Drosophila melanogaster: one gene and its partners. The protein of the gene in region 1 interacts with the protein of each later gene in a pairwise test. Each region holds a gene or a part of one and is shown on either strand. Other genes may lie near its edges.

Region 1 (4,176 bases):
ACTAAGATTTATTTGTTCAAAAGCAATATAAAAATATATAAGAAAAATATACTTAAGGTATCGCATTTCTAAACGCCTATTTCCTTTCAGATTATTTACTGGGACGAGCAGTCACTCTTCATGGAGCACCGCTTTGTGCGTCCATCGGACAAGTTCGTGCACTGCATCGCCATCTGCCGGCAGCGGGTGATCGACGTGTCCATGGAGGCGGTGATGTCGGAGCTACTGCCCAGGACCTCCTCCAACGGATTCCGGGCGACGGTGCTGACCTCGCTGGCTGCTCCGTCGCCGGCAGCTGGTGGCATAAGCAATCCCGCGATGGACACTTCGCTGGCGGAGAACGGACATGGGACGACGAGCGGTGGAGCGGCGGGCACGGGTGCCACGGCCAGCGCGACCGCGGCGCACTGCTTGAAGCTGAAGCCCTCGCTGCCGCCGGAGTTGGCCAAGTGGATCGAGTACAACGATATGTCGAGCAAGAATCTACGCAGTGGCTGCTGACTGGAATCGTTGGAGTCGCCGGAAGCGGATGCGCAACCGGAAACGGAAACGCCCATTATTACATGTTTTTTTTTTCTTGTCTCGCGTGCTTGTGTGTGTGAGTGTGCGTGCTAAAGTGTGCTAATGTTTAATGTCTAAGTGTGCACGTGAAATGTTTGTATTGTAAGCTATGTAAGGGTCTGTAAAACAAATAAGAAAAGCCCGCCCTCTTTTGGCCTTAACTAATGTATTGTATAATTACCCAGAGATCAGACACGCCCCCCCGAATAATGAACTAGAAATACAAACAAAACTCCTTGGTAGTCCACAGTGTGTAAGCTATGATGTACAATGATTGTTTAGTAAATGAACAAACCTAATGTGAATAATGATGAGCTATGTATATATTCTTGGGCTTTGGCGCCTAAAGGCAGGCTACACTTTGCTACCAATTAAGCAATTGGTGCACGGCTTATGGGTAATCTTGTTTACATTCACGATTAAGCCGTGCTAAAACCCATTGGTAAATATTGTGTTTAGATACAAAATCACCTGCTTAGGACTAGTGAGTATACCCCCTCTTGAACTTTCAGCAGTAGCCCTTTTAGATTTTGTATATTCGGGTAATTTGCCGTCTAAAAAATGCCAGGTGATCGCAGTTCGATGGCTAGTGTTTACACCGATCGGAGAGTAGCTATAGCTTTAAGCGTTTACCTGTGAATTTGCCTATTACGCCACACCAGAGATTCCCACACATCGGCGAACGGTCGTTGGAATCGAAATCAATCGATTGCTTAGGTAAGATGGAATTATCTGTACAGGTGAGCCAAGAAATACGGGGAAAAACAAGCGAAAGTGGGCGAAGTGGGGACATACAAAGGGGGTCATTCCAGTGTTGACCATAACTATTTGAGAAAAGTAGCTAAAATACCTATTTAACTTAGCTACTACGCTCTTTTGCGGTTAGGTCGCAATAACTGTCGAAAAGTGACATCAATCCTTGGGTCACCAGCAGTATAAATCCGTATTACAGAAGTAACAAGCTGAATTATTTGTACTAGTTAATTATAGTGTTTACTTTAAAGTTCTGCTTGTAAAACGTATTAATAGACAACAAATTTAGTATATGCCTCGTTAAAACTGTTCTATGGGGTTCAAAAGTGATATCTTAGTTTGTAAATGGTACTTTTCAGTTTAATGCTACTATATTTAACTCGAAAATTGCCAAGTTATCAGCCTTTTTTTCTTATTATTGCATAGTCGCTTTTTCACCGCTTGCGTTCAGTGTTGTTTAAGGAGATTTTTTCTAGCTTTAACAAACATCAAGTTTTCGAATACCACAAATATATAGACAAAATCAACAAGAAGTTCCTCTCGTGTGTAGTGGAGAAGTAGAACCACGTATATTGTTTTTAAAATGCGTTTTGATTTTATTTATTCGTTTGCTCAATTAACTTAGCTTAAAACATAAGTAATTATTTAATTGCCATCACAGCTGGCGTTGTCTAACTTTCGACTGATTGCTTTCTTTTGCTTCGGCATTGCGTCGTCTTCGCTCTTGCCAATCGGCAGTCTTCACTCTACAGTCTGCAGTCTACAATCTCTGGTCTTCAGTCGACGTTGGCCTTGCTTACCCAACGGTTGTGTTGCTGCGTACCGCTCCGCCCGCTTTTACCGCACCGTACCGCCCCTCCCCGCTCTTACCGATCGAACCCAGTTGGTGGTGTGTTTGGCCGAGCTTAACGACCGACTGCAAATGTAAGTATATGTATATCCAGATACTTTGCGAAGGGGTCAACCAATACAATTGACTTTCACGGCGACGGACTTTGGCGATCCGGTAAATCAGCGCCAAAGTCTGATGCACATAGAGAAATCACGGACATATCTTTGGATTTTCTTATTACATTTTTGTTTTTAAATATAATAACACATAAAATATATACAAATGGGTCTCTATTACTAGCTACTTCTTTTCTTTTCCCATCTACCAATTTAAATCTAATAATATTTTAGTTAAATTTAATAGTTATCAGGTTGACCCTAATTTCTTTCCATGTAGTAACAACTTTCGCTGCCACTAACGGGTTTTCGCCCCTCATCTTTTCAGTGGGAATCCAGACACACACAACCAGATATCGCGATGTCTTGGCTGGTTGTTTTGCTGATCCTGTACGTAATCTGGGATGTCAACTACTTCATCCGCTGCGTGTTCACGGTGTTCGCCGGCCGGCTGTTCCAGCGGAAGCGCAAGGTCACGGACACCACGACGATCTATGGACTGTGCACCTCGCAGGACGTGGACATCTTTATCCGGCACATGAACAACGCCCGCTATCTGCGCGAACTGGACTTTGCCCGCTTCCATTTCTACGCCCTCACTGGACTCTATGAGCGCATCCGGGACCGACGCGGCGGTGCCGTCCAGGGAGCCAGCAGTGTTCGCTACCGCCGCACCATACCCATCTTCCATCCGTACAAGATTCAGACCAAGCTGATCTGGTGGGACGACAAGGCCATTTACCTGGAGCAGCAGTTTATTACCCTTTCGGACGGATTTGTACGCGCGGTGGCCATGTCCAAGCAGAACATCACCAACTGCAATGTGCTGGAGGTACTGAAGACCTATCCGGAAACTGCCCAGCGACCGGAGAAGCCGGAGGAGCTCAAGCTCTGGCTGGATGCCATCGAGCTGTCCAGCCAGAAGCTGCGAAAGGACAAGTGAATCGATTGATTGATTCCATCTCCCGCAGCACAGCTCATTTACATATGTTTGCCTCATTTACTTAGATTCGTAGTCATCTTCTATTTTTTTTTTTTGAGTGCATAGTGAAGTAATTCTAGACTGGTGGGTTTTTCACACAAAAAAGAGCGTAACAAAATGTACACAAGTCATGAATCTAAACAATGGCCCATAGCAACTTAAAGACTTTATTTGCTATTATTTTTTCACTGTGCCTTAGTTATAGGAATATTGCATTAATGGAATGGCTGAAGATTTTAAATATAATTTTTTACAAACCAAAAAGTATTGTAAATGTTTAAATAATTTTAGATTGAACATACAATTTTACATCTTTCGCAGTTTGATCGTTTTATCACATATATTTCCTAAAAACGCGTTTTGCGTGGACGGGAGTCGTTGGAGTTTCTTTCACGACTTTCATTTATGCTAAGTTTGATATCACGCAACGCCAAGTCTGTGTCGATAAGTCAATGGATTGTCTTGTTTTCTATATTTTCTTTTTCGCTGTCTTCATTATGGAACAGTTAATTATGAAGACTGCATTTTGGTTATGTAATTTGAAACGAAACTGCTTTGGAACTGTTAACCTCAGAAGTTTGCAAATATTACACACAAATAAGCATAAATAATGTGTGCAAGGGAGAAAAATTGGTATCCAATATATTTGCATAATATATATGGATTATTATTTTCGTTATTATGGTTAAAACACAAAAAAAAAGTGTTTTATTTGGTTTTTTTGTTTTTCTTTGCAAAAAGGGCTGATTATTTTACTGCCCACTTAACGGAGGTTCATTGAACCAATTGTTGTCCTATGCTTTTCCATCTGCAGATAACTATTATCATACTTTATAATAATTACCATATTATCATTGACTTGGACAGCTGAGTGCCATCCGTAATCCGCAGCGTAATCCGTGACGTCATGTCGGATGCAACAGCTGCACACA
Region 2 (3,912 bases), on another chromosome or scaffold:
AAGGGGGGTAACAAAAATTGACCAATTAATGGAGCTCAAAATGGCCGAAAATAGCATTTGTAACACTGTATGAAATCCTATTAAAGATTGCATTTTCCTGGTAAGACTATAGTTTTGTGTAGCGAAATCAACCCAATGAAGTTCCAATTTTGTAATTATAAGGTATTAATTATTGTTGAGACCAAAAATAGATCCGTGAGCTGCCAAAGTATATATTTAACACTGACACTGATCCGATGAAATTGTAGATATGTATATTGTATTGTAGTTGCCACTATTTACCAAATTGGAAAGAATTCGCCAAGGAAATCGCTTGAAGCAAAAGTGCCAAATAAAAATGGATCGAGACCATCTTGAAATGTCAAAGCCTAACCGAATACTGAATTCAAAAGCCAGTTGGTCTTAAAAGTTCAAGCTTATCTCGATTGCTAAAATGATTCATGGCACGATGTCCAATCCACAACTTTCCTTGGGTTAATTATAATGGCCTGCCTGTCCGTCCGTATGAATGTCGAGATGTCGGAAACATTAAGAGTAAGGAAGCATGTAAGTTTTCTTTAAAACCGTGCCACGCCCCTGTTACGCCCTAAACTCCTAAAACGCTCACATCCTAAAAGTCTTCTGGATACCAGGAAACGTTCAAATCCTACTACTTTTAAACATATCAAAACTGTAGTAATAGATTGATCAGAGCTATATCCTTGCTACACGCCAAATTATTCAAATTCTACATATCCATATGTTGCAGGTTCATAAACTGAGTAACAGGTATCTAACAGTCGCAACACTCGAATACATTCACAGGTTTTTTGGAAATGAAGGACACCATCACCCTGATACCGCGTGACTAGAACGAGATTTATTTTTTACTTTCTCCACAATCCCAAAATACCGTTGAACAAAAAGATGATAATCAATTTCCATCTCCGTAAACAAATATAAATCCATTCTGAATATTTCAAGACACAATTTTTTTAAGTTAAAATCAAAAATCTGATTCATACCGGAACTGTGAAAAAATACTTATCACTTGTGTCACACCAGCAATATGTTATGACGTCAAAAATCCATATCTGTAAATATATCTAAGTTAGAACTTTTATTATATAGTCTATATTCATAATGGTAATGCAAATGAAAACTCTCTTAACTTCTAAAACTCTTTGTTGGTAAATGTAAATAGAAATGTAACATTTAACCTGAGTGTGTATACAAGATACAAGAAATATAAGATATGTATGTATTAGCCAGAAGACCTGAGAAAAATTTAATGGATGTTGTGTTATCCGTCAAATAAATTGTTCAAAAAATATTTAAAATATCAGCGCGATTCTTACCTGTTACTTGTAAAGCAACGCAGACTCTTAAAATTTCTTTCGTTACGCCTACTTATATAAAAGGAAATTAAAAGAATTGCTTAATATGTTTGCTTTGTTTGGCCTTGTTAAAAGAAATAATAAGTAATTCTGTGATGAAAACATTTTTAAGCAGAGAGAACTATATAGTCCAGTTCCTCGACTATCAGATACCAATTACTCAGCTGGTGGAAAAGTTCAACATTCATTTTGGCTTATCTATACAAATTGGAAAAAAAAATAATAAGATGAAAAATAGGCAAGTAACTTTTTAAAAGTGTGGGTTTGGTTTGGTTTGGGCGCATCCAACATATCTTTTGCCATACTGATAACAAATAGTAAAATTAAAAAATGTCTACACATAAAAGTGAAGACGTAGCAGATTTCAGTGTTAAAATGGGCGTGGTAAAAGGTTTTTGGCATAGCTCTAGAAATTGGCAAGACAAGTAATAAAATGAAAAAAAATCGATTCATTTTTTTAAATTGTGGCGTTGCATCATCAGAAAGAAACTGAATTTCTAATCTTAACTTTCTAGCTTTAATAGTTCAAGTTAATAGACAAGGATATCAAAAATATATACATTTTTAAACGAATCTAGTATAACCATCTACTACACGAGTAATAGGTAGAAAAATATAATTGTTTTGTGTAAAAATATCATTAAAAAATAATTCAAATGTTTAGAGAAAAAGTTTTGTATTAAATGTTTGATTGCATTCAGCGCTTTGGATTTGTTTTCAGTTGATTTCGAGAATTTGCGCACTCGCAACTCTGGCCACACCGCACGTCACGGCAACGGCAATCCTAGAACTATCTGCCACATCAGATTTTTCAAACTTTGTATACTGTTTCTCAAAAGAAAACGATGTCATAGCAAATTAAGAGTGAATCGTAAAATCAACATCGAAAGTGTTGCCGCCTCCATGTAGAAGTGACCCCGCTAAAGTCCTCGCCGCTTTACAAACGCCGCAGCATCCTCAAGACAGTTCTTGGACCAAGTGGAACGAATCCAAAGATACACATAACACTTGTGGAACGCCCACACTTGTCGAAAGAAGAATTGTAGATTGCAGCGAAGACGTGTATCTAAGATAAGTGTTAGGACGAGGTTGGGAAAGCACAAGCAAAATGGCACACACTGGCGGGAACCTATCCGGTAACATGCAGCCGCCACCGCCTTCCGGAGGCAGGTTCTCCGTGGACATGCAAAGGTGAGTAAACCGTAACAAGGAGCGAATAGCTAATTACTCTTGAACCCTGCAGCCTGCCCTCGCTATCCAACCTGCCATCACCGCTGCAGATCTTCCAAATGGTCCGAAACTCCCTGCGGCCCTGGGTAGTCTTCTTCAACATCAACAATTTCAAAACGGCCATCAGCATGCAGCGGCTAAATAGCCGGGTTATTCGGAATCTCTCCTATTTTCAGGCCAACTACGTTTTCATCTTTTTTGTACTGATGATATACTGCCTGTAAGTGATTCTAAAAACCTTATTGCACCCCATTTAATAGTTATAATCTTAAGCATCACGGCTCCCTGCATTCTGCTGGTCATCCTGGCTTCCGCTTTTGGCTGCCATAAGCTGCGCGTGCGCAACAGTAACATTACCATCGTGGGACAACAACTGACGCCCAGCCAGCAGATCATCGCACTCAATCTGGCGACGGCACCAGTGCTATTCCTGGTGGGCGCGGGTGCGGTTTTGTTTTGGACGCTGGGTGCTTCATGCTTCGTGATTGCTATGCATGCTATATTCTACAACATCGATGCTATTGTAACGGAGGAGAATGAGGGTTTCCTCGCCCAGGTTGTCTGACCGCCAGCCAGAAGCTAAACCCTAGGTCTTCTGGGATCGTGGCAACCAGGGACGAGGAAAGGGGCTAAACATATTCGCCACTATGGGGCCTTGCAAGTCGACACAATATGTTGTACACCTATTTATAACGAAATCTAGTTAAGCCGCAGACTTTAAATAATCGAAATACACACTATGACAGATTCATACGACTATATTCTTTTTGGCAAATTAATCGCAATATATGAGGCGCATTCGCTGAGAACTTCGATTTAATTCGAAAAAAAAAATTAATTTAAAGGATGTGGTCAAGTCATTGGACTCTGTGGCACTTACAATATTTCAGATATTTTCGAGCTCTTTAGAGGCATGCGTTTTAAAAATGTATTCTTTTAAATAAAGAATAAATATAAGTAACCGGAAAAAAATCGCATAGTCGGTTCTCCAAAAGAAGTTTCCATAAATAAGCTGTTTAAAATACATTGAACAAACGGCTCAATAAATCAACTAGAAATACACCACGATCGGAATTCTCTGCGATATGCACCACAAGGAAGGTAAATAAAGTTACCTAAAGTACACACATATACATAGCTCGCGTAAAACTAAGTCGGTATTTCAATGAGGTACAGGTAGTTAGAACTAGGAATGCTTTGTTAGCTGCGTAAGTCTTGGTCCTTCGCCTAGGCGTACTGGGCACTCGCCAGTGTCTTCGTCTCCTGCTCCTCGTCGCTGGCCTGCTGGTCCAGCTTCTCGAATCCG
Region 3 (3,060 bases), on another chromosome or scaffold:
ACGGCCCCCTCCACGTCCAGCGACACGTCCTCCTCCTCCACGAGCTCCGACAGCGAGGAGGTGGACAGGCTGAGGCGCAGGCTTCGCAGGCTCCGGCGGCTGAGGCGTCAGGAGAGGCGCCAGGAGATTCGCCGGGAGAGGCAGCAGGAAAGGCGCCAGCAGAGTCGTGCTGGAAGAAGGCGCCAACGTAGGGGATAAACCATCGGCTTAACCCGATCGAACAATGAAATGGTCCAAATTGAAAAATAAATGCATACACAAAAGCAACAATCGTAGTTATGACTTGGTAACTTGGCACCTTAAAAACAAGTGAAATCATTTGGATCGAATTGTTAGTCAAACAAAGAAATTCAATATTCGGTTTCATCTTGGAAAAGAAGAAGAAGGCTACACTATATACTCTAATGAAGAATCCTAAGTAAATCATTTTCCGATCTAGTTAGTTGATCAAGTGGAACTGGTCTAAGTGCAGACATAATTCCAGATGATAACTTAATCGATTAGGAACTTGCAAATGAAAGTGAAAAATAGGAGTTTGTTCTAAGTTTTCTTTTAGTGAGAATTCATTCTTTATGTACAATATGCCATCTTAATCTTTATTTAAGCTTAGAGGTTATTTAAATATGGCTTTCTGTTCAAAAGGCTTAACAATACATATTCATCTATTTAATAAACAATGTACCGTGTTTGCACACATGCTAACAATACGTTCAGCCAGCCAATCCAAAAAAAAACCGTTTTGTTTAATTACTAACGAATTAGAACTTTCCACAGCCATCAACAGCTTTCGCGCTTACAGAGAAGATAGTCTCGTCTTTTTATTGAGTTTAATCTATTTGTCTTGACGAGAACGTAAAATGTACTCTAAAACATTCAAAGCAAACACAGATTCGACAATTAAAGCGAATCAAGTGGATCATCCCTATAAATACTCGGATTTAAACCACTATCCACACAGTACTCCATTTAGTGACAAACTGAGCTGAAGATGCGTTGCCAATTCGTTATCGCCTTTGGGCTTTTGGCCCTAATAGCAACTGCCTACGCCGATTCTCCACCTGCGGCAGGATCCCCACCCGCGTCATCTCCACCGGCTGGAACCCCAACCTCGCCACCTCCAGCGACTGGAACACCGCCCTCACCATCCCCAGCGACTGGAACACCACCTTCAGCATCCCCAGCTGCTGGTACACCGACCTCGCCAACTCCAGCGACTGGAACACCGTCCTCGCCAGCTACTCCTGATGCGCCCGCTTCCTCGACATCACCAGCTACGCCCACATCGCCCAGTGACAGTGGATCCAGCAGCAGCCAGGAAGTGATTAGGCTCAGGCGTCGGCTGCGCCGGCTGAGGCGTCAGCTCCGCCGCGAGAGGCGTCAGGCCAACCAGAGTAATCAGAATGGAGGTGGTGGTCAGGGGCGAGTGGTTCGCCGTGTACACCGTCACCGTCGTCTATTGTAAAATTCACGAACATGTTGGCTACGAATTTGAAATAAAATTCCAGACAGAAATGCAATAAATCTAAAAAAAACATAAATGTATTGAATGGCTTTTTAAATTAGAGGAACCATCGCTCTTTTTGTAATGCATACATTAGTAAACTAACTTATATTTGCCCAACAAACTTTCTAAACATTGCAATGAATATTTCGAATAGAAGCGTTCTAAACATTGAAATAAATATTCTGATTAGGAAGTTCGTTGCACATATTTAATTCAAAATGACCGCGAAACGGTGCTGCCAGATGTCTGAATTTCGTGCACTGCGGAGCGGATCTTCTTTCTACTAAGGCAGGAAGGGTCATACTAACACCTCCACTTCTCACCAAAACAAAGGTTACCCCGAAATTTAATCAAAATAAATCGAAATGCCGGTGGATTGGTTCGGATATGTGTACGCAGCCACGGTCGCCGCCGGAGGAATCATGGGATACGCCAAGGCGGGTAAGTGACCAGCCCCCTGACCGTGGTCATGTCCGATTGTGCAACGCCCTGCATTCCAGGTTCCATTCCCTCGCTGGGTGCTGGTCTGGCCTTCGGAGCCCTGCTCGGCTATGGCGCCCACCTCAACTCCCAGGACACGCCTCGTCCCCTGCTCCAGTTGGGCACCTCCCTGTTCCTGGCCGGGCTGATGGGCGCCCGCTGGAACCGATCCGGAAAACTGATGCCCGCCGGAATGGTGTGCATGCTATCCGTGGCCGCCTTGGTCAAGAACCTGGCCACCTATAATCGCTACCTAATGCCCGCCGGCACAAAGGCCCCTTAGGCTAATTTCCGGCCACATGCTGGACTTGCCAGGAGATTGCCCTACCTTCATTCTTCATTCGTATTGAATAGGTTTTCTACTTTTCGGTGATTGGAACTTTGGTAATGCGCTGTGTCACTTTCTAAGATAGTGATTAGGAACTGTACTTGCTGCAAATATATTTTATCACCTATGCTTTTAACTTGTGGACTTCTTTGTACTCAATTGTAATACTTGGTCACATTTAATAGCATACTTTCAGGCACTTTGGTATGACAGTTCGCATAGAAGCACAGAAATACACCATTTCGTACATTCAAATCTTTTTTTGTATATTTATTGTTTAACTTAGCTTTTGTTTCTTTTGTGTGTGTGATAAATTTACAGTTTCATCTATTATACGATGTTCAGTTAACTACAACTAAAACTTAGCTATTACATTTTGTTGCTGCATGAAAAGAGCATTAGGCTAGGTAAACGTAGAGTGATGGATTTTTTTTTTTTTTTAGAATTTAGGCTTCTAACAAGTTTATTACAATAATGAAGTGAATAATTTGAGTTTTCTGCAGGCAAAGTGCGGCAAGGTAAGTATATTATCGATTCTCCACCTTTCTAGCATTTTCCCAACAGGAAACGATAAATATTTGTTAAGTAGAGTGTACAAATTATATATGTTTATCACATTGGAAAGTGGGATTATTATTAAATTTCCTTTCGATTGATTTGTGGCTCAAGAAATAATTTAGGTTGTCTGCCGAAAGTGCGTGCATGTGTAGATGAAGTTTTTACAGAATTATATGTACTATTTTACAAA
Region 4 (3,570 bases), about 15 Mb from region 1:
TTGTTCTTTAAATTCCGATTTTGTTTCGGGTTTTATGATTGATTATATAGATTAGGTAGTTCGGAAAATGTTTTCTTCTATTTAATTTGAATTTATCAACATGCTGAATAATTTTTCTTGTATTCTCTTACAATGCATTATTTTCGGAGTTCTATATTTCAGTGAAAGTTGTACCTGAAAAATTCTTAGTCTTGTAACCATGTAGCTCGGTGGGGTATCATTTTCGATCATAGTTCGCAACTAGTATAACTAGTTTTGCTGTCACTGTAAAGTGCTGGCGATTAACTTTTAATAGAACTACAATAGCATGGGAATTGCTGCTAATTACCGTAAAATTGCTGAAACAAAAAGCTTGCCAAAGCTCAATTGGATTTCGTTCTGGTAGTAAGGTCTTGAAAAATGCATTTTCAAAATTGAAACAGAAAATACGGATTAATCAAAACATTGAAGCGATAAGAAGGTCTAAATATAGTTTCAATGCGCACCTGTGTCTGCGTTGAATCATATCAAAAGTTGCCTTCAAACTGATAAGCTGGGCTTTTGATAATAAATAATCGTATATGTACTTCTGCTTGCTACCAGCCGAAATTATTCTAAAAACATATATTTATTTTAATGGTTAGGTTTTGAAATTAATAAAGCAGTTGATGTTAAGTTAAGATAAATAGGTTCAACATGTGGCATAAACACTCTATAGAGAACTAATTTAAAAATTAAAAATAGATTTGTTCAGCTGTAACAACTTATTTTGCATGTTTTCAAATTGACCATAGAACACAGGAAGTGTTATTGTTTTAGTCAGGAACAAAGTATATATTACTTAGATATATATTTTTAGTCAGAATTGACACCCAACTAAATCTTACCGTGTCTGTTTATTTCCACGTAATCGTATTTACTTAAACTATTAAACCTATTGCAGGTATTAGATAAGGCAATAACAGGCCGGGTCGGAAATGTAATTACTAATCTAATTTTATATAAACTATATAATTTAGCTGAACTAGGAGCGAGCGGAATGGGATTTGCAGTTTAACGTTCGTAAAAAATACAGGAAAAATAAATAGAAATAAAATACATTTTATTAAAACAGGACGACTGTAGTCGTCCAAGCTAGTGGTAGCTAAGTTACTATAGGTGAAGGGTATATAAAATTCGGCTTACTTTTTATGTTGCTCTAAGCTTTTAATTGCACTTAAAAAGTACAGTACTTGTAATATATTAAAAAATATATTCCATGCATTACAAATCCACTTTTATATCTGAAAAGCGTTGCAACACAACCTTACAACCTAATAATTCCCATGAAGTCCATAAGATTATTCATGATTTGAGGAAGTGATTTCCCCGGCGATATGTTTTCCATTATCCACTTGATTACCATCGGAAAATTGGCGACCCGTTGGCCCCGATTCCGCGAATTAGCTCCGATCTTGGGCCCCGAAGGTTAGGCAGCAAATTTGGGGTAATGGCAATGCGAGCACAATGAGTCCGAGTCCATTGGGCGGCTGCCCACTGTCCACTGGCCACCCACCGGCACAGAGCATGCATGCAGATACAGACATTATGCTCCACTCAATCAAGCTGGAAGGGATGGGGCTCGAGTGCAGCTGGCAGCGGAGAACGCAGACGGTCTCCACTTCAGAGATGGAACCGAGAGGCCCGGCGGACGTGGTGGACGTGGGCGGATACACAGGGATGGGAACAAGAATGAAAAGCCTATTTCCTAAGTGTAATTAATTAATTTCGCTGGCTGGGCCCGACTGCGCCCAACTGCAAACTGCAGCCGCATTTGCCTGCCATCCGTCATCCATTTCCGAATCAGAATCAGTTTGTCCAGCGCTCTGCCGTCGCGAGCACGCTCCAAAGAGGCCAATCGGAAGAACTTTGGAACTTTCTTGAGTTGCGACACGTACATTTTCAAGCTGGACCACATTTTCGAGGACTGTCAGCGGCAGCAGTTTCACAAAATGTCTCATGGCGAGCGAAAAGGCCGCCTCAATGTGGTCAAGTTTCTCGAACTGGTAAAGGATTTTTTTTTCAAGTGATTTTACTGCAAGTTCTAAGGATTAATGAATTAATGCAAAAAGCAACGCGTATGCTTACTAAACAATGGTTTGTCAAAAAAAAAAAAAAAAAAAAAAAAAACGACTTGGGAATTAAAAGAAAAGACCCGAAATACCAGATAGACTCGGAAATTATAAGAACACCAAGAAGCACCACAAATGAAAATCCCCTCACTTTTCCAGGGTTTTGCGGTAGCGTGTCTGGTGCTCCACTTCTACAGCTTCAACGATCGCGATATAATGACTTCGTTCCTGGCCACTGGCACCTTCACGGGCTACATCATAGTGGTCATCGGGGTCTTTGCAGGTACGCCTTGGAATGCCAGTCCTTAAGAGTTAAAATACTAAAATAAGTTAACCAAAAACGAAATTTGCACACAAATCTACTTAAGATACCTTGCAATTGCAGGCGTTCTGATGCGGGCACCCATTCACAAGCGCATCGATATATTCTTCAGCGTCCTGGGCTGCACCTTGTTCGTGGCCAGCGGTGTGTTCATCATTGAGGCCTGGGAGTTCTCCTTCCGCACCCGAACTCGGGATCTCGCGCTCATCAAGGCCTCGCTGTCCATCGTCAATGGGGTGCTATTCGGATTCGATGCGGTGTTCACATTTCGCGACAAGTGAATCGTTCAGTTTTTAGACGGAAACCACTGGCCAGATCCGCTGGAGCTTCTTTCGTATGCATTTAATAGCTTATAAGGGTATACATATCTTTCCGGTTCAACTGGCCATTCCGCCAATCATACAAACAACCAAACTGTTAACGTTTATCTTTATATTTAAGTGTTTTTTTTTTCTCTCAATAAAAAGTAATTCGCCATCGCTCAATTAGTCATATGAGAAAGCAAGAGTCGATACTTGCGACTGTGTGTGGTGCAGTCCCGGTACTCAAGTAATTGTTTACAGAGCGAGACACTCGACACAATACATTTGCAATACGGCTATCTAAAATAATCCTCATAATTAAAGTACAAATAATTCAATTGGAAATATAAACGGTCTAGAAAATCACTCTAAACTTATGTAGGCGATGATCCCGGCCTGCTGTTCCTGCTCATTTCACGGGAATTCGAAATACGAGCTTGTAGCACGGCACATACCACCAAATTCGATAGTCCTAGCTAAATTAGATCGCGAGATCCAGGTGTTCGCAGAACATATAATTCTAGGGTTCCGTGGATCGTAAAGCGAGAGTACCGGCAACAATGGGACACAAATGAAGGTGAGCTGGCGGCCCATTTTGTTGACATCGTAATAGTAGTTAGCGTTATTTTCTTATTTTTTTATTGTTTTTTTTTTTTTTTTCTTTTTCTAACTTTTGTATTTGCTGATAATCGTGAGACCGCTGGCTGGCTTTGTTATATTTTTTTTTTCTGAGTTCCACTGCCGAGCTTGTTGTTATCATCTGGCGCTGGGCATCTTTGGATGTCGATTATGTGTGGTGCTGAGTGGTGTGCATACGTAGGTAAGTGGAGTGCTCCTAGGCAGAGTTGTGGATGTT

Evidence for each region.
Region 2: the proteins of CG4666 (region 1) and CG1418 interact in a two-hybrid assay, tested with the Drosophila melanogaster proteins (one large-scale study listed by BioGRID).
Region 3: the proteins of CG4666 (region 1) and CG5532 interact in a two-hybrid assay, tested with the Drosophila melanogaster proteins (one large-scale study listed by BioGRID).
Region 4: the proteins of CG4666 (region 1) and CG15449 interact in a two-hybrid assay, tested with the Drosophila melanogaster proteins (one large-scale study listed by BioGRID).

Annotation. Positions count from the first base shown.
Region 1 is NC_004354.4:6,075,399-6,079,574, reverse strand, and holds CG4666 (uncharacterized protein), read left to right. Parts: upstream 1-1,788; 5' UTR 1,789-2,238; intron 2,239-2,590; 5' UTR 2,591-2,623; coding exon 2,624-3,205; 3' UTR 3,206-3,503; downstream 3,504-4,176. Other genes in the region: CG4660 (uncharacterized protein), read left to right, coding at 91-501.
Region 2 is NT_033778.4:9,963,289-9,967,200, reverse strand, and holds CG1418 (uncharacterized protein), read left to right. Parts: upstream 1-2,133; 5' UTR 2,134-2,484; coding exon 2,485-2,567; intron 2,568-2,619; coding exon 2,620-2,826; intron 2,827-2,879; coding exon 2,880-3,171; 3' UTR 3,172-3,366; downstream 3,367-3,912. Other genes in the region: Pal1 (Peptidyl-alpha-hydroxyglycine-alpha-amidating lyase 1), read right to left, coding at 3,834-3,912.
Region 3 is NT_033778.4:23,750,961-23,754,020, forward strand, and holds CG5532 (uncharacterized protein), read left to right. Parts: upstream 1-1,793; 5' UTR 1,794-1,869; coding exon 1,870-1,945; intron 1,946-2,004; coding exon 2,005-2,267; 3' UTR 2,268-2,555; downstream 2,556-3,060. Other genes in the region: CG12491 (uncharacterized protein), read left to right, coding at 1-198; CG11300 (uncharacterized protein), read left to right, coding at 989-1,462.
Region 4 is NC_004354.4:21,038,839-21,042,408, reverse strand, and holds CG15449 (uncharacterized protein), read left to right. Parts: upstream 1-1,803; 5' UTR 1,804-1,970; coding exon 1,971-2,024; exon of another isoform or gene 2,025-2,249; coding exon 2,250-2,373; exon of another isoform or gene 2,374-2,394; intron 2,395-2,462; exon of another isoform or gene 2,463-2,475; coding exon 2,476-2,693; 3' UTR 2,694-2,895; downstream 2,896-3,570. Other genes in the region: Ntf-2 (nuclear transport factor-2), read right to left, coding at 3,550-3,570.